4 linked regions of the Ovis aries genome follow. The protein of the gene in region 2 purifies or fractionates together with the protein of the main gene of each other region. This does not show direct contact. Links are inferred from orthologs where the notes say so. Each region holds a gene or a part of one and is shown on either strand. Other genes may lie near its edges. The genes, in order: CDH5, CTNNA1, CDH1 and TES.

Region 1 (5,262 bases), on a different chromosome or scaffold from region 2:
TCTACAAAGGCCAGGAGGCCATAGGTTGGGGCAGAAGAGGGGAAAAGATGGAGTTGGAATTTGGGGTGCAAAGCTTCTGAGCCATGATGACGATGGTGGGTCGTGACGGTGCTGGTGGACGTGGCTCCCGTTGCAGTAGCAGCAGCCACTCTTGAGCACACCTGCTGTGTACATTCTGGCATAGTGGTGGCACGTTTTCACGTTCTTTTACTCAGTTCAGTTCAGTCGCTCAGTCGTGTCTGACTCTGCGACCCCATGAACCGCAGCACACCAGGCCTCCCTGTCCATCACCAAGTCCCGGAGTCCACCCAAACCCATGTCCATCGAGTCGATGGTGCCATCCAACCATCTCATCCGGTATTATTATCCCATTTTACGTAAGTAGACTGATCTCAGAGAAGCTGAGTCCCTTGCCCAGAGTCCCATGATCAGGCAGTGGTGTGATGTTGGCCCTGCCCAGAGCTCTGAGGGGTGCGACTGCATAAGGGTTGCCAGCCCTAGGAGGGGTAGCCCACATGGGGCAGAGAGCTCCTGGAAGCAGGCCCAGAACTTCCCTAGACTCTGTCCTTCTAGCCTGGAGTTACTTAACCGACTGTTAATAGGCAAGCCAGGGTGGCCCTCTGAGTCTGCTTCCTTGTCTGTAAAATGGAAGTGATGACTCCTCTGCCGTTTACATCTGATAAGGTGCAAGGTTAAGTGCAATTCTATGAGTGGTGGGGATGCCAGTATCATCACTGTTACAGATTTGTATTGAGAGGGGACTCTCAGTCTGGACTCTTGGCCACAGCAGGGGGGCTCTGCCAGGGGGCCTCTCAGGGGAGCCACTGGCAGGAAAGGCCTGGAGCCTCACTGTGTCCCCAGTCCTGTCACTGTAGTGCGCAGGGTGACCTCTGACCACTCATGGGCTTCCTTTGGACGGCTGGCTCCTGCCCCACGTAAAGAGCAGGAGGAGCCCCGGCCATCTGCCGGTGGGCGTTGGTGGATGAACATGACTGAGCGCTGCCGCCCAGTCCCCGGGGAGGAGAAGCTCCAGTGGCCCATGGTGGCAACTTGTGTGACAACTTGCCCTTCACCAGCTGCCTCCTTTCCCTGTCAAAACTCCCACTCTTCCTTCTGGGCCTTCCTGGGACCACTTCTCAAATAAATCATGTGTACCCCAATCCTTTTCCCAGGGTCTACTTCCTGGAGACCGTACACTGAGGCTAGGTCTAAAATGCCTGTAAAATTTCTGAGGCCCAAACAAGGGGAAAAAAAAAGAAAAAGAGAGAGAGATCAAGGCTGGAGGAATCCTAAAAAAAGAAAGAAAGCGCCCCCTGGTGATAATTTAAACAAGAAAATTTACACTTTCCATTTCTCTCCGAAAGAGAGACTGGATCCTCTTTTTTTCAAAAGAGATTTTATATAAATAAGTGCCTGGAACAGTGCCTGGCACACAGTTAGTGCTCAAAATATGTCGGTTGAATGAATGAATGTTATATAAAGTATTTTAAACTGGGGAAGGGGTCTTGAGCTGCGCTTCCTCCTCCCGTCATCCACTTCCACCCTTCTGCACCCAGGGAGGTGGACCTTACCCCAGCATGGGCCGCACTTTGGGCTGAAAGCAGCGGGGCTGGGCCTGGATCCCCGGCCGCCTCCTCCTCCCCTGCAGTCCCCTCGCCATCCCTTCCCATCCTTCTGGGCACTGACCTGTGATGGTGAGGATGCAGAGGAAGATGGCTACCAGCGCCTGGATGCTGATGCCCACCTGGGCGGCCACCTCCTCGCACAGGGTGAACTCGCCGTGCTCGTTGCACTTGCACACGGTCACGTGCAGCATGCTGGTGCCCGTGAGGCTTGGCCTCCCGTTGTCCGAGATGAGCACGGGCAGGTGGTGGACCTTGGCGCGCTCCCGGTCAAAATACCCGTACTTGACTATGATGTTGGCCGTGTTATCTGGAAACACCAAGGCCTCGGAGTCAGGCGCTGCTGTCTGGAGTGCCCATTCTCTCGTCACCACCGACAGTGGGGCCCGCCTCCTCCAGGAAGCCCTCGTAACTGTACCCGCTCATATGCTGCCTGGGCCATGTGTCTGCCCTTTATACCCCTGCCTCGTGTTTTAGCCGTTGTGGGCAGGTCTGTTCCTCCAGAGAGGGGATGTTTTGGGCAGCTGCTTCGATTTGGCCTCTAAGAAGGATTTGGCCAGTACTTAAAATCATTGCTTTTTTGTTTCTATGGGTAACTGAAATACCTGACCCCTAACCCTACTTCAGTAAGAGGGAACTCTCAGTTAATTAATGCATTGTTTCATGCTTTTATGAACAATCGGGGGAAAACAAAATTGAAAAAGTCTCTTAGCATCAGGCTAACTTCTAAGGCTGTTTCTGCTGTCCCTGAAAATGCATTAGAAGGTAAGAACAACGCACAGGTCCCCTGGGGCACTGAGGGAATGATTCCAGTGTAATTGAGGATTCCCTGGGCAGGTTGGAATTGGGACTGTGCTTTGGTCCAAATATTGGCTCTCCCTCTCAGCTCCAATCAGTCCATGTACAGAATTCCCCAGGGAGATTTTTGAACATGTTGCTTTTCAGACCCCACCCCTACCCACCTCCCCTCTACTCCTCCTTCCTTCTTTTCCCCTCTCTCCTTTCCTGAATTTCTGTTTCAGTGGCTCTGGGCAGAGGCCAGAAAAATGTGTCTTTTACTGGCTTCTGGGAGGTTGTGATGGTCAAAGTTGCAGGGACTCCCTACTCCAGGTTTTATGTAGCTACATGGGCGGGGTTGGCACACTCAGGAAGCCAAAAGCAAAGGAGGCTGTCTTATAGATTTTAAATGGAAGCCAATTATGTTTCATTATTAAGTAGCCATATCTATTGTAATAGAAAATAATAACAGTATGGCCACTGAGACTGTATGAGAGAAATGAGAGATTTCTCGCTATACTCATTTAATATTGTAGCGGGACATTCATGTTATAAGTGAGTCTGAGGCCAACGAGCTTATCTCCTGATCACATATTGGGGGGGGTCTTTGGGGGTGACACTTAAGCTTTTTACTCCATTGCTGACCTCTTGTGAGGTAGGTTTGAAGCAGGCACTGGGGATGGTTGTGACAGGTATTTTTCCCACATTATTTACTACCGAAGACAGCGGAGTGTTGAATGGTGTGGCACTGACTGTCAGCATGTCCTGGCCACCATCCCCATCTCTCAAGAAGGAGTGTGTGGCTGGCCCCCTGGGTCTCCCCCTCACTCTCAGGAATCCCAGTCCCTGACCTTCCTCAGAGGTGGCAGTGGCTGTGTCTATGGTGGGAGCCTCACCAACCACCACGTTGCCGGTTAGGGATGGGCAGGGATTCCTCCCCATTCTGGAGAAAGGATTGCTCTCTTTAGACCCAAGGGGGATTTTCTAGGTTTTTTTTTTTTTCTGAGGAAGGTGCAGAGAGCATGGAAGCCTGTCTGTTTTTGGCTGGAATCCAGCCAACTCAGCCTTATCACTCCAGGGAGCACATACTCATCAGAAGCTCTGATTGGCCACTGCTGACATCGCAGGACTCTGGGATGTGACTGGTGGACCAGATCCCGTCCTGAGGATACCTGGTGTTAAGTGATCATTGCGGCCAAATCAAAACACTGTATTCTTGGCATTTTGGTTTCAAATGTCCCATTTTGGCTTTTTGGGAGCAACCTCAAAGTTCCGTGTCATAGAGTAATTTGCAGTTGTATTGACCACAGAGGTCCCATGGGAAGGAGTCCCTTAGTTTGTGAACCAGGCTCTCTACACCCCATGTCTATTCTGTGCCTATTCAGTGACCTGGGCATCTTAAGGGAAAAGGCAAGGCCATGTGGAGTTGGCAGCGTGGCCAGGGTGGCTCTGACAATTGCACGGACCAACAAGGTATGTGGTGGGAATTGTATACAATATCTTGGAACTTGATAGCCCCAGGGAGGGCACCTGATTCATTGGCTTGTCTGTAACCGTGGCATCTCAAGACTCAAATAACTCCATCCCTGACCGCCACCTCCCCCCAACCCCGCCCACTCCAAGAGCCAGGCTGACTGCTTCAAGGCGCACCGTGATTATCAATGAGGGTGAAGTTGCTGTCCTCAGTGCTCAGGGAGAACTTGAACTTCACATCTCGTGGTGTTATATCCTTATCTGTTGCTGAGATTTGCACGACCAGCTGGAGGGTGGAAGATGGGGGATGGTCAGTGGTGGTGTTGAGCTGGCTGGGGTTTCAGTGATGGTGAGGGACTTTGGATTTAGATCTGACTGTGGCTGCCTCTCACCTGTAACACTAATCTCAATGGTCTCCAAAAAGTCACTCTTTCTACCACCCGCCTCCCCACCAATCTGCTCACTACACATTGTTTCTCTGAGCCTCAGTTTCACCATCTGTAGGGGGAATGTCATCTTTCCTCAAGGCTGTTCTACAGGTTACATTAAGCTCATGAAGCGCCAGCTGACTGTGAGCAGGAGGTGCTGCCCCTTTGGTCTGACCCAGGCAGGCGCTGCCTCGCCCTCCCGCCTGAGCCAGACTCACCGTGCCCTGGGGGGCGTTCTCACACACTTTCGGCTCATAGGGCTTGGCGAACTCTGGGGCGTTGTCATTCTCATCCATAACTTCAACGTAGACCTGCACAATGGATTCTTTGCCCGTGGGAGTCCCTGCAGGAGAAAGGCCTTGTCACTACAGTGGACTTAGCAGATGTCAGCCCTGAGATTAGAAGGTGTATTGGTGGGAGTCCTGGAGGGGTGCTCTTTTTTCTGGAAGAGGGGGCTGTGGACATTTAGAAGGAAGGCCAGGGATGGTGTTCTGGATGAAAGGAGCAGAAGAGGAAGCGGGGTAAAGCCTCATGCATAAGGATATTTGCTAGAGAATTACTTGTAAGAATCAAAAAGAGAAACAACATAAATGTATTTTTAAAGGTTTTAATTAAATCAATTAAGTAATTATTAAGTCAATGCAGTAATTTAAGTAATCAAACCGATTTAAATAAATTAACTATGGAATAATTGAAAAGGTAAACAGGCTGTGTGAAATTGCTTTAATAAACCGGACCAGTTTAAAAGAATGGACCATGTGGCTGTTTGCAATGCCCATGTAAATTACATTTTAAAAGTTATAATCTCTTTAATAAAGACATTTTAGTACCACGAGAAAACAATTCTGGAATAAGGTTAAGTAAAAATTCAAGGTATTATGATTTCACTTGTATAAAATGACAGATAGAAAAAGGACCGGAGGAAACACACTAGAGTGCTAACGGTAATTATTGCTGTATGG
Region 2 (5,266 bases):
ATGTCTTTAGCTCCAAAAATTCCACAGAATGAAATTGCTGTATCACATGGTAAGAGTAGGTTTAGTTTTGTAGGTGCAAGCCATGCCTGCCATCTCCAGGGAACTTCAGAATGGAGGGCCCTGTTCCTGGAGCCTGCTGGGTATCTGGAAGCCCACAGGCAGGGCATTGTGGTGGCTCTGTTGTTTGCTGGAGCTACTAAGTACTTGCATGTGCCTCTGGCTCCCCTTGAGATAAGAGGAAACAGCATCATGTCCACTTGCTTGTTTGAGGTATCTTAGGAGGTAAAGCTATTGTAATCACTCTTCTAGACATTGTGTTATGTAACATGACTGTGTCAGCAGAGGCTGTGAGGGAAGGGTAATAACTTTTAGAAGGGAATTAAATCAGAACCAGTCCTAGATCATGACAAGTCAAAAGCATAATGTAACCAGGATGGGAAAGAAATGGTCAGCTGCGTTTCTCGGTCTTTATTAGTTATAATTTTATTTATGTATGGCTCTGCTGGGTCTTCATTGCTGCACCTGCTTTTCTCTAGTTGCAGAAAGCGGGGGGCTTCTGTTGCAGCGTGTGGGCTCTCAGCCTTCAGTAGCTGAGGCACATGGGCCTAGTTGCTCCGTGGCATGTGGGGTCCTCCAGATCAGGGGCTGATCCTGTGTCTTCTGCATTGGCAGGCAGATTCTTTACCACTGAGCCACCAGGGGAGTCCCCAGATGTGTTTCTTAAACAGATTACATTTGCTCTAATTGTCCTGACTCTTCCAGAAAAACCAGTGCATGAACTGTCTTGGTTTAAGGAAGGGAGCATGTCTTTAACAGACACTGCTTCTCAGATTTCTTGTGTGTCTTAAGGAAAGCTGCTTTCTGAGCAGGAAGAAAATAGCCAGACAATGACCTGGAGACTGTGTTGCTCACCCACCGGCCCCATGCGTTGTGAGCCCTATCATGAGGGCTTTCTGCTGGTGGACTGCACAGTTCCTGGTGGTGAGAACATTCCCTTTCCCATTCTGGGTCAGCCCCTGCAGATCTTCATCCATTTCAGTGGCTGCCCAGTGCCCATAATTTATTACTCTGTTCTGGGACATTTTGGTTGCTCCTACTTTGCTATTATAGATGAGGTTAACGTGAACTCCTCATTCTGGGGTTCCCAATACCCAGGGTCAAGCTTTGTCTTTGAGGAAAAACAGTTCTGGTAGATCTTCCAAATCCAACTCCACGAGGCTTTTGCCTGCCTTCCAGGCTCTTCTCATGTTCCAGAGTTGTCCTGATGTCTTGGTCGTTTGTCTGAATACCACTGGCATCTCCTGGAGCGAGGGGCAAGGGACTGGGAATAGTGAACCTTGTCTTCTAATTTAGACTTTGGGATATAAAATCAATGAAATTGTTTAAGGGAAAGAAATTATCAAGGATTCTGAAAGATGGGCGTCTCTGCCTGTCTCTTCTAAACCTGGAATAAAGATGGTTATTCTTGGGGTGATTGCAGGTCCAGTTTCCAGGCAGTTGATCCCTGGGTAGTCTGGTCTCTTGAGTGAATGATGTGCAAAGCTTTTGGCACTGTAGCTGGCACGCAGTGAGCACTGGATGAGTGACAGATGCCAGCTTAAAATCGTCCACTTCTGGTGGGAGGCCTCCTCCCTCATTCAGCTGTTTTTGTTTGTTCCTCAGAGAATCACATTTTGGAAGACGTGAACAAATGTGTCATTGCTCTCCAAGAGAAAGATGTGGATGGGCTAGACCGCACAGCTGGTGCAATTCGAGGCCGGGCTGCCCGGGTCATTCATGTTGTCACCTCAGAGATGGACAACTATGAACCAGGAGTCTACACAGAGAAGGTGCTGGAAGCAACCAAGCTGCTCTCCAACACAGGTGCGGGACCCCTCCCTCACCTGTGCTCCTCACACACAGATGGCCCTCTGGTTAGGAAGTAGGACACTGGGGCTCAGTTTGGTTTTCGGACAAGAGTTCTGGAAGGTACATCGGATTTATGAGTCATTGGTCAGCCACAGTAAGACCACACAAACACGTTTCCCTTACTTGTGTCCCACAGGTAGTAATGGGAGTCGTTCTGAACTCTGAACTTCTGAGTTATATCTCTAGTTAGTGAACACACTAAATTAAGGAGAGTCCCATTCTAGTAAGGCCTCTAGTTAATCCCAATTCAAATTCTCAGCCATCTAAATCCTGTGTTCCAGAATCTGGCCAGAGACAAAGAAGAGGATTCAAGTCTTTGTAAAATATGGCATTTAATTTATTTGAACTATAAATACCTCTCACATAGGTAGAAGCAGAGGCTCTTCATCATACACTCTGCCTCTCTGCATCTGACTGAGGGATTTAGGAGGGCTGGTGGTGATGTTATCATCTCTCTTCTCCGCAGTCATGCCACGTTTTACTGAGCAAGTGGAAGCGGCTGTGGAAGCCCTCAGCTCAGACCCTGCCCAGCCCATGGATGAAAACGAGTTTATTGATGCCTCCCGCCTGGTGTACGATGGCATCCGGGACATCAGGAAAGCGGTGTTGATGATAAGGGTGAGTAACTGCATTTCAGATGTTTTAACAGCTTCCTTCTTATCATTTGCTAAACTTGAGCAATGCATCATTCTGGAACTCAACAGATGTGTTGGCAATATATTAAAACCATGAATCTAAGGGCTGTTAGGAAGAGATATGTTTAATTACATTGTTTAAAATGACTTTTAGTTGCAAGTTAGAGCCCAAACTTGGGCTGAGAAAAGGGGACCTAGTATGAATTGAGGCTTCCTCTTGAGTTAAAGGGCAGTGATAGAAAATAAAGGCTCCTCAGTGAATTTCAGAGAAGGGAATATTTCCTTTATTCAGGTTGAAACTGTTCTTTACATGGAGCACTCCTCACCTCAGAGGGGTGGCAGGCAGGCAGGGTACTAGAGCCCAAGGGTATTGAGGGGAAGGATGAGGGGCTGTGCAGCCCTTGGTGATGCTCCTGATCTCTAGGGCCAAGTGTCGAGCCCTCTCACCGTGGCTGAAGGGAAGTGCCACCTGCTCTGGGCCCCGTTTGACCCGTCCTCTCTGAGCCAGAGGCAGTTCTCAGCGTCTGAGGCAGTGTCTGGGGTCCCCTGGGCATGAACAGTAGGGTTTTGAGAAACCACCTCCTCCGTGATCATCCCGTGTCTTAGGCTGGGACTCACATAGCAGTTGATGCCTCACACGCTGTTTTGAACATGAATGTGTTGCTCTGGAAGTGGAGAGCAGGACCTGTGCCAAGCTCTCCCGGAGTCACCCCCAGGCTCGGGCCAGCCCTGCCGTAGCCACAGAGCCAGCATTTGGAAGGCAGGCCTGCTGAGTAGACGGCTGCTGGCCTCTGCTGACAGTCTAGTCTTGTCGGGAAGCTTCCGTTACACCTTCATGGTTTGCTAGTCCGACCGCCCAAGGCGGACGGGGTTCTGTCCCCCTTTTTACCCCCTCAGCTGGAAACAGAAGCCATTTCTAAGGTAGTTGCATCAGGCTGGATACATTCTGTATGCAACGTAGCAACATTTGGGCATTACTGCACTTCTCTCAGGGGTAAGGAGCAACAAGAATGGCTCAAGGACTGTATGGCTGGCTGCTGGGTGTTCCTGCAGGCCCGGGTCACCTGCACATACTGGGGGTTGGGAGGGGATCTGGGGGAGCCTGTTGCTTTGTTCACCCCTGCTGCTGTGCTGGAGAGCAGCCCATGCTCAGGGAGGCCTGGCCCCCAGAGGTGCGAAGGGGTCCCTGGGTCAAGCGCACCAGTGATGGCAAAACGCAGCCCTGTTTTTCCAAAGTTCTTTGCATGCGGACAGAGAATAGAAGAAACATTAATAATCATGAGTTGCTGAGTGTCTGAGGTTAATGCCTTTGGGGTTTTAAATGAGCTGGCACTGCACACACCCCAGGATACCTGCACATCCAGGGCCTGTTCTGTGGAAGCAGGGTTCCTCCTCACATCTGAGACTCTCAGCAAGTTCCCGCATCTCTCTAAGATGCAGATGATGGTGTTGGTAGCTTGATGGGATGAACTGGAGGTCAGGTCAGGGCCTGGCATGTAGTAGCTGTTTCTTGTGTGCTTACTGCTGTGTGGGATCGTAAGTACAAGAGGCCCTGGCAGGTGTGGTGAGATGGAACCTGGGTGTGGTCACCTGGGAGGGCTCAGGGAGCAAGGACGGGTAGGTCTGCAGCAGCCTTGGTTTAGTTCCTCCTTTTTGTCTTGATTTAATTCAGGAACCATCCTTCCAACCCAGGGCCTCTTGGTTTCTTGATGCCTTGTAGTTAGCCTCTTTTGCCTGGTCCTTGTCATAACCAGCATCCCCATCATCCCTTCCGTCAGCTGCTCCCTTTGGTTCTGTGACTTCCAACAATGCTTTGAGTCCATCAGGATATTCAGCCGGTTGGTCCTCCCCACTTGCAACCCTCCCTCAGCCTCTTGGGTCCTTGTCTCACTCCTATTCCAGCTTCTGTTTCATCAGTACAATCTATTTTGCACCCTTTTACTCCCCTTATTTGCCTTTCAAAATACAGCCCTAGTGAAATTCTGTCTTCTGCTGAACATGGTGCATAAAAGTACAGTCATCTGACTGGGGTCACTGGACCCAGGATGTCAGGGGACTGCTGGTGCTACACAGTCTGGGAACACTTCCTACCTTCCTGCTTGCCTCCCCTTTCCCCACCTGTGCCCCATCCTACCTGTCTGGCCCTGGTAACCGTTTCACTGAGGATCCTAAAAAAGTGAAAGTGAAGTCACTCAGTCACGTCCGACTCTGCAACCCTATGGGCTGTAGCCCGCCAGGCTCCTTCTCCATCCATGGGATTTTCCAGGCAAGAATACTGGAGTGGGTTGCAATTTTCTTCTCCAGAGGATCTGCCCGACCCAGGGACCAAACCCGGGTCTCCCACATTTCAGGCAGACGCTTCACCCTCTGAGCCACCAGAGATCCATCGTTCCCGAGGATCCTGAGGTGGTTTGAACATCTGCTCCTGGCTGAGCCTGTTCCCTGCACTGGGTCTCGTTCCCTGTTCCTCCAGCACTTTTCCCCCAGCAGACAAACATGCCTTAATTTCTCCCATCGGAAGAAAACTCGCTGGTCCCTCCTCCTCCATCTTCACAGCCTGGGACCACGGGTACACCCTGTAGCATAGATTCTCACCTGTCTCTTTTCTGACTGTGTTCATTCGCTTGGAGCATAAAGATGAGAGGAAACCAGTGAGAGGCTGACTCCCATGGTCCACTCCTCTAGCCACCCTGCTTGCTGCCCCTCGCTTGTCTGCCTCAAGC
Region 3 (5,266 bases), on a different chromosome or scaffold from region 2:
CAGTCAGACCCAGCAGTGGAGCCAGGACTCAGGGGTCTAAAGGAGTCCTTTCTTGAGTCCAAACTTTGAGAAGAGTCTGGCAGAAGTGCCCACTCTACCAGCACGATCCTTATTTTCTGTCAGTGGAGCAGCCAGCACTTAGGTGCCCTGTGGGTACCTGAAAGAGCCAAGGCCCTGCCCGTGCACACCCCTCAGCACACTCTGGCCCAGTTGCTGACACTGTCGTTTATCCCCTACTCCCCTCTGCTCCCATCGCTCTCAGTGGTACCAGTAATTTTCATAAAAGTCTGGTCATTATAACCTCCTGCCCTTTGATAACATCCCACTGCACTTAGGATACATCCTGAAATTCTAAATTCATTTCACAAGGTTCTGGAGGAGGCAGTTTCATTTGGCTCACTACACTATTTTTCAGTTCTTGCTATGCAGCAAGCTTTCTCTTGATTCGGGGCATCAGACCGTCTGTCCAAAGCTTCTCTTGAACTCGTAAAGCCTAGGCTAGAGTGGCAGACACTGCTGTCTACTGAAGATCTATTTTCCTCTTCTTCTCTAACATTAATACATGATTGATGGCAGCAACATGCCCAGATAAAATACTGTATTTCCAGTGTTCCTTTGCAGACAGCAGTAGCTAATGAGAGATAAATGAAATTTATGGGATGGGTCTTCACAGAAATAATAAAACTTGACTTAGCATCAAAGTCGTAGGTACCTCTCAACTTTGCCTTCTTTCTGAAGAAACCACAGACATAGCTGGAGCTCCATGTGCCATCTTGGGCCACAAAGTGACACTGGGGATAGAATCCATGCACCAAGGATGGAGGGAGACTGGATAAAGGAGGCTTGGTTTCTATTGACAGAGTGGACTATGTACCTCTGAGTCTTTTAAAGTGTAGAAAAAGGCAATCCTATTTGTTTAAACTGTTAATAGTCAAATCCCTCTTATTAACCATTAAGCTGATTTCTAAGGAACACAACAAGGTTTCAGGTTCTCAGTACCTTCTTCTTGACTGCATTTACTAAAATTACACACAATTATTAGTTGTCTAATGTCTCCCTAGCTAGACTCTAAGCTCCATGAGAACAGAATGATGGTCTGCTGTGTTTGTGATAATATGCCCAGTGTCTAAGACAGTGCCTGGTATAAACCCAGAGGATATTTATTCAATAGATAAAACCTGGTAAGATCTGCTACTAAGATGCCCAATATGAGGACATGGATTCAGGAGGTGCATTTTGCAGCTTCAGAAACCTAGGCCAACAGGCATCAGGCTGACGATGACAGACAACTGGCACCTCAACTTGCTTGTTCTTTAGCTTGAAGTTGAATGGTCTGGGAAAAGTTACCTAAGGGTTCACCCCTGAGATACTGGGAAACAACCAAGGACCTTTCTTTGGAGACTGTCTAAGAAGGGGCAGGGTTACCGTGGTCGGGTCGAATCTGGGAGCATTATCATTGGTGTCCAGGACTGTGATCACGGCCGTTGCAGTTGTGCTCAAGCCTTCGCCATTAAGGTCTGCTGCTTGGACCATCAGGGTGTATGTGGGAAAACTCTGCAGAGATCGAACACAGCCGAGTCAGGACCCACAGCTACATCAGATCCCACCCAGCTCCCAGCAGAGAAACAGATTACTTTTTCATCTGCTTAAATACCAATAACTCCACCTGCCTGCCTGGCCTCAAATCTCTAGACAAACTCTGAGATGCAAAGTTCAGACCATCACCATGCTAAATGGTGACCAGCCTTGGCAGAGTTTTACATCATCCAGGAAATGGAGTTAACATTATTTGCCCTCCACACCCTCTGGATCCTCCTGACCCCTGACCTCACGGTCCAGCCCGGTGGTGAGCACACTGATGACGCCTGTTTCCTTGTTGATGGTGAACATTTTGTTGTGTGGCAGCATGGGCTCTTGGGCTAGGATTTTGTAACCGATGGCAGCATTGTGGGTGTTCACGTCATCATCTATATCTGTGGCTGTGACCTGCATCACAGAGGTTCCTGGAAGCAAAGAAGATTCGTTTCCAAAATTCTGACCAAAGTGCTTAGTGGAGGAAGAAAGCATTCTACCAAATGAATGAATGGTGTTCCCAGAACCCACCTGGTTCAACTGAAACATTTTTGCTCTGTCTCATACACTAAATGAATAGTGCATAAGAGAGGAAAAACCCCAGAAATTGCCACAATTCGCTTCCTAGCCACATTTCCGCCTGAGAGAATGGTCATCTAAGATCACTGCCTTCAAGGTGGAAGGAAATATTGATAACGTTCATGACAAATAACTCTTTAAGAATCAATAGGCAGGGAATTCTCTAGTTGTCCAGTGGTTAGGACTGTGTGCTCTCACTTCCAAGGGCCTAGGTTGAATCTCTGGTTGGGGAAGTAAAAGTCCCAAAACCGAACAGTGGGGTGGGGAGGGGTGGCAGAGGGTGGGGAGAAGGAGAGAACCAATAGACGAAAGACAAAAAGCCCAAGAGAAAAAAAAAAGGGCAAAAGACTTGAACATTTAAGTTGTAAAGAAACCCAAATGGTCAGCAAACATATGATGCTTCTTTACTCCATTAATAATCATAGAAATGCCATTTTACATTACACTGATATATAATCATATACTCAACAGACTGGCCAAAAAGAAGTCTTACAATTCCATGAGGTATATTGCTGGTAGGAGTGTAAATTGGTTCAACCACCTTAGAAAACTGTTTGTCACCGTGTAGAAAAGTAAGCAAAACTCACAAGGTGTTACCCAGCATTAAGTACACACATCAGAAGATGAATGAAAGTAAGGGAATGATTATCACAAAAGTCAGAGTGAAAGTTGCTCAGTTATGTCTGACTCTTTGTGACCCCATGGACTGAACAGTCTATGGACTTCTCCAGGCCAGAATACTAGAGTGGGTAGCCTTTCCCTTCTCCAAGGGATCTTCCCAACACAGGTCTCCTGCGTTGCAGGCGGATTCTTTACCAGCTGAGTCACAAGGGAAGCCTATAAAGGTCAGGGTAGTGGCTGCCTTTAGGGGACAGAGAGAAAAATGTGATCAGGAAGGGACTGTACAGGGGCCGTAAACTCTTAACAAGATCTGTTAACTTTTCTTGGCTGCGCAGCATGGGGAATCTTTAGTTCCCCAACCAAGGTTTGAACTCACACTCCCTGCATTGGAAGTGTGGAGTCTAAACCACTGGACTACCAGGGAAGTCCCCAAGGATCTATTTCTTAATCAGGGAAGGCTATTCTTAAACTGCTCTGTATTTGTTTATTTATTTAGCTGCCCCAAGTCTTAGCTGTGGCATGTGGGATCTCTGGAGTATGGAGTCTTAGCCACTGGACCACCAGGCAAGTCCAAATTGCTCCTTCCTTAAACTGCTCTTGGACATTTTCTACATGTTTCTGTCAGGAGGATATTTTACACACACACACTATCTTCCAAAGAAGTTCTGCGCCTATGAAAGGCCTGACCCCAAATGCCAGCCCCAACACTTGGGGAAGGGGGGCGGTCCAAAGAATCTAAATTGTCTTGGTGGGTGTTGAGCTCCTCGTGGCTGGACACACCTGGAAGAGCGCCTTCCAGGACAGACCCCTTGAAGACCTCCTGGGTGAACTGGGGCTTGTTGTCATTCTGGTCGGTCACTGTGATCACGATCTCCATAGGCTCTTCAATGGCTTGTCCATTGGAAGATACGGCATGAGAGAAGAGCTGCAAGAGCCAAGTGAGGGTTACTCGGGAAGAGGACATGGGAGAAGGGGTCCGACCAGAGCAGTGTGGGCTCCACTGGGCCCCACTCCCTTCCACTCAAGTAAGGACTCCCCAGCACAGAGCTTATCCCACACACATGCTGCTGCTTCAGTGAGGTCATGGCACTGGTTAAGACTACAACATGGGAAGACGCATGGGCTGGAGAACACACCTACCAGGTCAAAGGCCCCATTGCCCACATGGGGGCTGAGGACCAGGGCTAGGAGATAAAGGTGGAAACCTGAGACTCTCTGACTTACTCCAAGCAGGGTCAGATCTACTCTGGACACTTGAGTCTAGGGTTTCCCCAAGACCTTTCTGCATTTGGCATCAAGGCATTACCTCCCAACGTCCCTGAGCTCACACTGCTCTCAAGGCCCAGAAATGATTTTTGTTCTCCAACATCATCACCATCCTCTGCCTTTATGTCATCATTGTTGTTTAGTAGCTAAGTTGTGTCTGACTCTTTGCAACCCCATGGACTGTAGTCTGCCAGGTTCCTCTATCCATGGGATTTCCCAGACAAGAATACTGGAGTGGGTTGTCATTTCCACCACCAGGGGATCTTCCTGACCCAGAAACTGAACCTATGTCTCCTGCACTGGCAGGCAGATTCTTTACCACTGAGCCAGCAAGGAAGCCCGTCTGCCTTTATGTCAGGGACTTTTAATCCCAAGAATAGGTTGACATCTTGGGTCTAAGATCATGTCTGATACCTCGAGACTCTCTCCAACTTTATTCCTAACAAAAACAGCCCCTAGTTTTTCCCAGGTTCTCCTGTCATTTCACCTTATTGACAGGTCTAGACGAGTCAAGCTCTTCAAACGTCCAGAGCATCTGATCTACGATCAACATGAATTGACCAAAATATTTTGGAAACATGTAACCCCATCATTAACAAGCTTCTAAGAGACACTCACAATGTACTTGGCAATGTGTTCTCTATCCAGAGGCTGTGTCACTTTTAACCATCCTGTTTCTCTTTCAATAATAAAAACACCGACAGGGGGTGTGTCAGCTCCTTGGCCAGTGATGCTGTAGAAAACTTGGGTTTCTTTCTCCCTGTTAGATTTGATCTGGAGACAAAGCAGAGAGAGATGAATGAGCAAGAAAGGATCCTGACACTGGTTGTTTCCCCTTTCTCTCCTAGGTCCTTCTCAGCCAAATTCCCTCCCAGAGAAGGAAGTACAGAAGGAAGTACCTGGACCAGCGACTTAGGAAATGGGCCTTTCTCATTTTCTGGGCAGCTGATGGGAGGAATGACCCAGTCTCTCTTCTGTCTCCGGAGACCATGGTGGGAGCCAGGAAATGTGAGCACTTCCGTCTGAGTTCCAGAGAGAGAGTCCTAAAAGGAAAGAAGGTGAGGAACAAAACAGGATCATTTAGGCGAGATGATACAGGCTGAACAGTTCAAACTACCCAAGAAGAATCTCCAGGCTTCTGAGAGGACGACATGGTTTCCATTTAGTAAAAAAGAAACAGCCAAAACAAAACCCAGTGAACCCTTTACCATATCACCAAGCTGGTTTC
Region 4 (5,904 bases), on a different chromosome or scaffold from region 2:
AAGGGCAAAATACAATGCTAAAAAATGTTTCCAGATATTTTCTCTAGTGTTTGTCTCTCAAATTTCACAAAATAAGCCCAAAATTTATGTTACAACATCATTTGATTCCTTATTTAAACTGTTTCACTGGACATTTTCCATCTGTTAAGCTCCCTGAAAGAGACCAAATTGCCTTGTCATAACTAAACCTCATGTTCATTGGAGTTTACATTGGGTAAACTTTGCAGGAGCCCAAACATTGTAGCATGGTTTGGGAAAATGGCTTGGAAAAGTTTTAATTAAACTGAGTGAGAAGAAAAATTCATGACCATCTTGGTCATTTCATTTTTAGTTTATTAATAGAATAAGAAAAACATCACATCATAAATCAGTGCTCTGTTTGTTACTGAACTGAATTTGGGTCTGCTCATCCAATATGAGACAAAGCTAAGCTACTGACACCAGGTTGTGGTGAAGCAAACTGTAGTGTTTATTGTGAAGGCATCAAGCAAGGAGGACAAGCAACTAAAGCTCAAAACACTAAAACTCCCCAGTGGTTTTTACGGGAGGATTTTTAAAGGCAGCATTTGGGGTATGGGTTGTAGGGTGCCTGACCAGCTTGTGCACAATTCTCTGACTTGTCGGTGATGAAGTAACAGCACACAATTTCAGGAATCCCAATCATCAACCTTCTTAATTCCAACCAGTCTGGGGCCTACATGTTGGTGGTTCATCTGGTTGGAGTGGGGCCTGGTTTCTATAAAACCAGTACAAGGATATGGCTCAGGATACTATCTATAGCACTGAAGGAAGAAGCTAAAGGCCCTTGGCTTTACTTTACAGCCAAACTATTATTATTTAGTTTCATTTGACTGTTTTCCTTTGTTTTTGCAATTTCTCATTTAACTGATTAAATTTGCTTTTGGGAACTTGGGAAAAGCGTAGGAAGTTAATGTTCTTCTGCAAACAAAAGGCAGGGGACACCAGGGGTCTGTCCAGGGGAAGATCCTAAGGGTTGAAAACGTTAGCTAAAATGATTTTGGGTTTTTTAAGTTATCATATTTCAAAAGGTAAAGGGGAGAGAGGGCTTCCCTTGTAGCTCAGTTGGTAAAGAATCTGCCTGCAGTGCAGAAAACCTGGGTTCGATTCCTGGGTCAAGAAGATCCTCTGGAGAAAGAAATGGCAACCCCCTCCAGTATTCTTGCCTGGAGAATCCCATGGACAGAGGAGCCTGGCAGGCTACATACAGTCCATGGGGTTGCAAGAATCAGGCATGACAGAGAGACTAAACCACCACCACCACCACCACCACCACCAAAGGGGAGAGAAATGTGGACCTAAATAGCTATATGATTTGGGACTTTTTCCCTTTTAAAAGTAGATGCAGATTAGGTGGTCACTTGCTATCTAATCATTATAATTTTCTATCATTACCATGAACAGAGGAAAAAAAGTCAAAAGGTTGTTTTTTTCCATCTGGAACAAGCTGAAGACACTGCTTAAAGACTCATGAGCTTTAGCTCTGTCCCCAAGAGACTAATAAATTGGGCAGGTCCCTATACTTCTGGGGTCCTCAGTTCCCTGCAAAATGAGAAAGTTATACTCAATAATCCCTAGATTTCCTTTCAGGTCCACCAAGGCAATAGTATTCATTGCCATTGCTCCTGAACGAGGCCATAATATGGATCCAAATCTAGAGCTGCAGCGCTGCTTGTTATGCCTATGATACTGCTTCATCTAAGCATGAGGCACATGAGCAGCCTCACATCATTTCACACAACAGGGGCAAAGGACAAGCCTCTCCTTCCAAAGGAATGGTGTAAGTTATCCCTTTACTGGTTCACACTATCCTCATTTTTGAACTATCAAATGCTCAGAAAACCCATATAACCCTCTTCATTGGCTGTCTGAGATAAGGTTTCCAGCCAGTGCTTGGGATATTGGAGAAAAGTATTTAGCCAAGTGCCTTTTCCACAACTCAACAGTGAAATTATAGAGTGCATTTCCATCACGAAGATCCCTAACAATCCCCACAACTTCTCTTTTTCTTCGCTCTGAATTCATATTTAAAGTCCCAAGGAAAACAGGTTCAAGCTGACTGAATGGAAAAGGCTCTTCCTCATTTCAGCTGGAGGCAGCTTGGGCTCCAATTCTTTGGGAGCAGGTAGTCAGGACGCCCAGCGGAGCCTCAGAGATCAACTCCGGGCTACAGGATTGAGCTCCGCAGGGTACCGCCCCGAACGCGGCCCCGCCCCTCACCTTGCTGGCGCCGCGCTCGGCAGCGAAGGTGCGTGCGGCGCTCAGTGATTGGCGGCTGCCTGGAGGGGCCCGGCTGCCATTGGCTGCTTGGGCCTCTTTGTTCCCGGTCCCCGCCGCAGGCCGGCTGCAGCCGACTGGGCAGCGGAAGTTTGACCGTGCCGGGCAAGTGGCTGCGGCGGTGGCGCCGGTGTCCCGGTACATCTCCTCCAGTACCGGCAACGGTGCCAGACGCCCGGCGATCCTGGGCGTGATATCCCCGACAGGAGGAGAAACCCCCTCTGACACATAGACATGGACCTGGAGGCCAAAGTAAAGAAGGTAGGGTGGCTGGCAGCAGCCGCTTCACCTGCGCGGGGCGCCGCCCCCTGGCTGCCAGTGGCTGGTGGGGCGCAAGGGCCGTCAGGCACGAGCGGTGTCGGGATCGCCGGCGCCCGGGGCCCCAGTACCCGGTCCTTCGGGTAGAGGGGGTGTCCGCTGGCCCTACTAACTCCTGAAACCCAGGAGCGACTGAGAGTCGCGCGCGAGGGCGGGCGCGGGACATTTCTCCCTGTCTAACCAAGTCCAACGGTTGGAGGTGTTTGAAACTTTTCCTTAAGATGTTTTGGCAGGGCTTGTGCCTCCCAAGAAGAAAAGGATGAGCTTAGGGCGAGTTCGGGCGAAACCGTGACACTACTTCTTCCTGTCTCAGGAAGCTGAACTTTATTAAGCCTTTGTGGTTTGGGGTGACTGATGAGACTTTTGACAGCTCAGACCTCCTCCCTTCCCAGCTTGGCAGTCAAGAGGCTGTCTAGAGTGAGCGTTGATTTAATGTGCTTCCTTCGCAGCAGCGGCTGGTGATGGCGTGAAAGGTGAACTTTTTTTTTTTTTTTTTTTTGGTCTCTGGTCATTCATTACTTGACTTCCAAAGCACTGCCTTCGTCTTCCAAAGAAAATGTTCTCCTTCTTTGGCAACTAGTCCCAAAGGACGATTGTCAGCGGTGGTTTAGCTCCAGGAGACGTTTCCTGACTGGCTGCCCTCCGGGCGTCAGGACCCACGGCCCTACCTGAGCCGCTCCGTGATATTAGGAGACTCGCGTTTCCTGGGAGAAAAGGGTGGGACTAGACTGTGACTCAGAGGGAATGCTGATGTCACATTCCAGTGTAACGTTCTGTGTGAAAGGTCGTCTCATTCCAGGGAATTGATTAAGCTACTTGCTCCTTGGAGAAGGAAATGTTGCTCCTTATCAAATAAAGAAGGAAGTTCTGCTGAGAGTAAAGGAGGGGAAAGTAGAGAACCTAATTTTCTTCTCTTGCTCATTGTGGGTTATCAACATTGCCATTACTTTATCTTCTAAAGACAAGGTTTCTAACCTAAGCATTAGTTCTGTTTCATGCCCAGAGTTGGATTTTTGAAAATATATGCAAGTGCAAAATATTAGGTTAGGTTAGGAGGCTGTTGAAAAATAAAAAGCCTGCAGTGGGGAAAAAAAAAAAACATGTTTGCCCTTTGTGACTAGACTCAGCTTCCAAAAGGGAATTCATGAACAGGAAAACGTATTCTGAGAGTACAGTGATTGAATTCTATTGTCTTCTAGTTTGGTTTCTTATTCTTTTCTTTGCTTTTAGATGACACTTCACTTTCACTTTTCGCTCTCATGCATTGGAGAAGGAAATGGCAACCATTCCGGTGTTCTTGCCTGGAGAATCCCAGGGACAGAAGAGCCTGGTAGGCTGCCATCTCTGGGGTCGCACAGAGTCGGACACGACTGAAGCGACTTAGCAGCAGCAGCAGCAGCACATTTTTTGTTAATCTTGCTTGCTACTAGGAAAGCATTTTGTTTGCCCCTTAATTAGCCATCTGTTGATGAACGCTGCTTATTTTGTTTTTCATGTGGGAAACAGTGGGTAATTTAGTACTTGTCTAAAAATTTTTTGGGGGGATCTTGTCTATGCTTAAACATAGTGCTTCAGAAAAGACGTTTTAAATGCCCAGATCCTTTGGGAGAGAGGGATGAATGGGTGAAACCATTCTGTAAGCTACTGTAATTGTGAATACCTGTCATTATATATTTGTCAAAACCCACAGAATAAACACCAAGAGTGGACCCTAAAATAAACTGTGGACTTTGGGGGATGATGATGTGCCAGTGAAAGTTCATCAGTTATAGCAAATGTACCACTTTGATGTGGGATATTGATAATGGGGGTGGGGGTTGGTCTGAAAAGGGATAGGAGATATATGGGAATGCTGTATCTTCTGCTAAATTTTGCTGTGAACCTGACTGCTCCGGAAAAACAAAACAAAACAAAAATCCCCTCTATTTAAAAGGAGGGGAAAAAAAAAACAAGTAGCATTCAAAAGTGATTTTGAAATTATTTGAGACAAGAAGTAGTTCTGAGGGAGAAAGTCCAGAGTTAAGAATTATATGTGCTAGCAAGGGAAAAATCCAGACATTATTTATACAGTTTCCTTAGTTTCAGAATGTGGATTATCATAAATAATGGTCTTGATATATGGTGTAATTTTTCTCCTGCATCTTCCCTTTACTTTAAAAGGTTATCTTTTCAACCGAGAATCTTATCCTTCTCTCTCATCTTCCTCCTCCCCTCCCGCCGCCCCAAGAAAAAGGATTCCATAAATTTAAAACTTGTACAGACAATACCATGACAGTAACAAATCCTTGTTTCACTACCTTGTCATCACTGGTGATTCTCAGGGCAAAGTCCTCAACTAGTAAATTGGAAAGTAAAAGATCCCAAAGATGTCCAGTCTGATTGCCAACATACCTTCTCTGTGTCTAGGTAGGATCCTTGACAGATTAATGTTCTGTGCATTTGACAGAGTGTTTCCCAGTACAAAGAATTTAGAGGTCCCAGAAATACATTTCATAATTTCAAAAAGAAACTTGCATTCCCTTTAGAAATTGTTTTCTAACACATGAGAAGAAGGAAACATTACAAGATCATCTTTGATCTTATGAGCCTTCTTACCCTATTTTGGTATCTAGATACTTTTCAGGTCTCCCTTCTTTTTCACTTGGATATACAAGAAAACTGATAGTTTTACTATACCTTTTAAAAATCATAGCTGAAAGTTGAAATAAAGACACAGCCATTTAACTAAAACTAAATTTAACTTCTGTTTTAAGATGCATGGCATTTTTTTTCCTTTTAAAACCTTTTTACTGTTGTTTTCATAAGAAATATTCTCTAGGCAGATGACAAATGTTACTTTCCCATTAACATTTCATGTAAAAAGAATTAGAGGGTTATCTTTATTTCACATCCACCTAGGTGGATAATGTTATTATAAGATTTTTTGTTTTTAAGAGGAGAACTTGGGTGTCTATCATGGGCATAAATTTGGATTAATTACCAGTTAAAATACACCATCAGAAAGGCAAGGAATTTTTATAACTAGATTTTACTATATTGTATTTTGTTTGAGATAAGTGAGCTGTTGCTAGGAAGTAAGAGCTAGTTTGGTTATACAGAGTTTTGTTTTAATATTTTAGAGTAGAATTTGAGTTTTACATCTTCGCTCTTTCTTTGGAGTTTCTTGTCTAGATCTCTTCCTTATGTCTTGTGTTTCTTCATTATAATTAACTTCATGTAAGTAGAGCCTGTGTCTGCTTGGAAAACACAATGACCTTTGAGAAACAGAAACAGAGTCTCATTTTGTGATGA

Evidence for each region.
Region 1: the proteins of CTNNA1 (region 2) and CDH5 purify together in Homo sapiens (affinity purification with western blotting; 4 studies listed by BioGRID and IntAct, counting the BioPlex papers as one, with this or other methods). This does not show direct contact. The link is inferred for Ovis aries from reciprocal best matches to the Homo sapiens genes CTNNA1 and CDH5.
Region 3: the proteins of CTNNA1 (region 2) and CDH1 purify together in Homo sapiens (affinity purification with western blotting; 10 studies listed by BioGRID and IntAct, with this or other methods). This does not show direct contact. The link is inferred for Ovis aries from reciprocal best matches to the Homo sapiens genes CTNNA1 and CDH1.
Region 4: the proteins of CTNNA1 (region 2) and TES purify together in Homo sapiens (affinity purification with mass spectrometry; 3 studies listed by BioGRID and IntAct, with this or other methods). This does not show direct contact. The link is inferred for Ovis aries from reciprocal best matches to the Homo sapiens genes CTNNA1 and TES.

Annotation. Positions count from the first base shown.
Region 1 is NC_056067.1:33,728,566-33,733,827, reverse strand, and holds part of CDH5 (cadherin-5), read right to left. Parts: intron 4,644-5,262; coding exon 4,519-4,643; intron 4,159-4,518; coding exon 4,050-4,158; intron 1,933-4,049; coding exon 1,687-1,932; intron 1-1,686. UniProt on the Homo sapiens protein: Cadherins are calcium-dependent cell adhesion proteins. They preferentially interact with themselves in a homophilic manner in connecting cells; cadherins may thus contribute to the sorting of heterogeneous cell types.
Region 2 is NC_056058.1:47,903,824-47,909,089, forward strand, and holds part of CTNNA1 (catenin alpha-1), read left to right. Parts: intron 1-1,662; coding exon 1,663-1,863; intron 1,864-2,374; coding exon 2,375-2,526; intron 2,527-5,266. UniProt on the Homo sapiens protein: Associates with the cytoplasmic domain of a variety of cadherins. The association of catenins to cadherins produces a complex which is linked to the actin filament network, and which seems to be of primary importance for cadherins cell-adhesion properties.
Region 3 is NC_056067.1:35,665,282-35,670,547, reverse strand, and holds part of CDH1 (cadherin-1), read right to left. Parts: intron 5,082-5,266; coding exon 4,938-5,081; intron 4,813-4,937; coding exon 4,657-4,812; intron 3,698-4,656; coding exon 3,553-3,697; intron 2,004-3,552; coding exon 1,828-2,003; intron 1,555-1,827; coding exon 1,426-1,554; intron 1-1,425.
Region 4 is NC_056057.1:53,712,758-53,718,661, reverse strand, and holds the start of TES (testin), read left to right. Parts: upstream 1-2,349; 5' UTR 2,350-2,529; coding exon 2,530-2,556; intron 2,557-5,904. UniProt on the Homo sapiens protein: Scaffold protein that may play a role in cell adhesion, cell spreading and in the reorganization of the actin cytoskeleton. Plays a role in the regulation of cell proliferation. May act as a tumor suppressor. Inhibits tumor cell growth.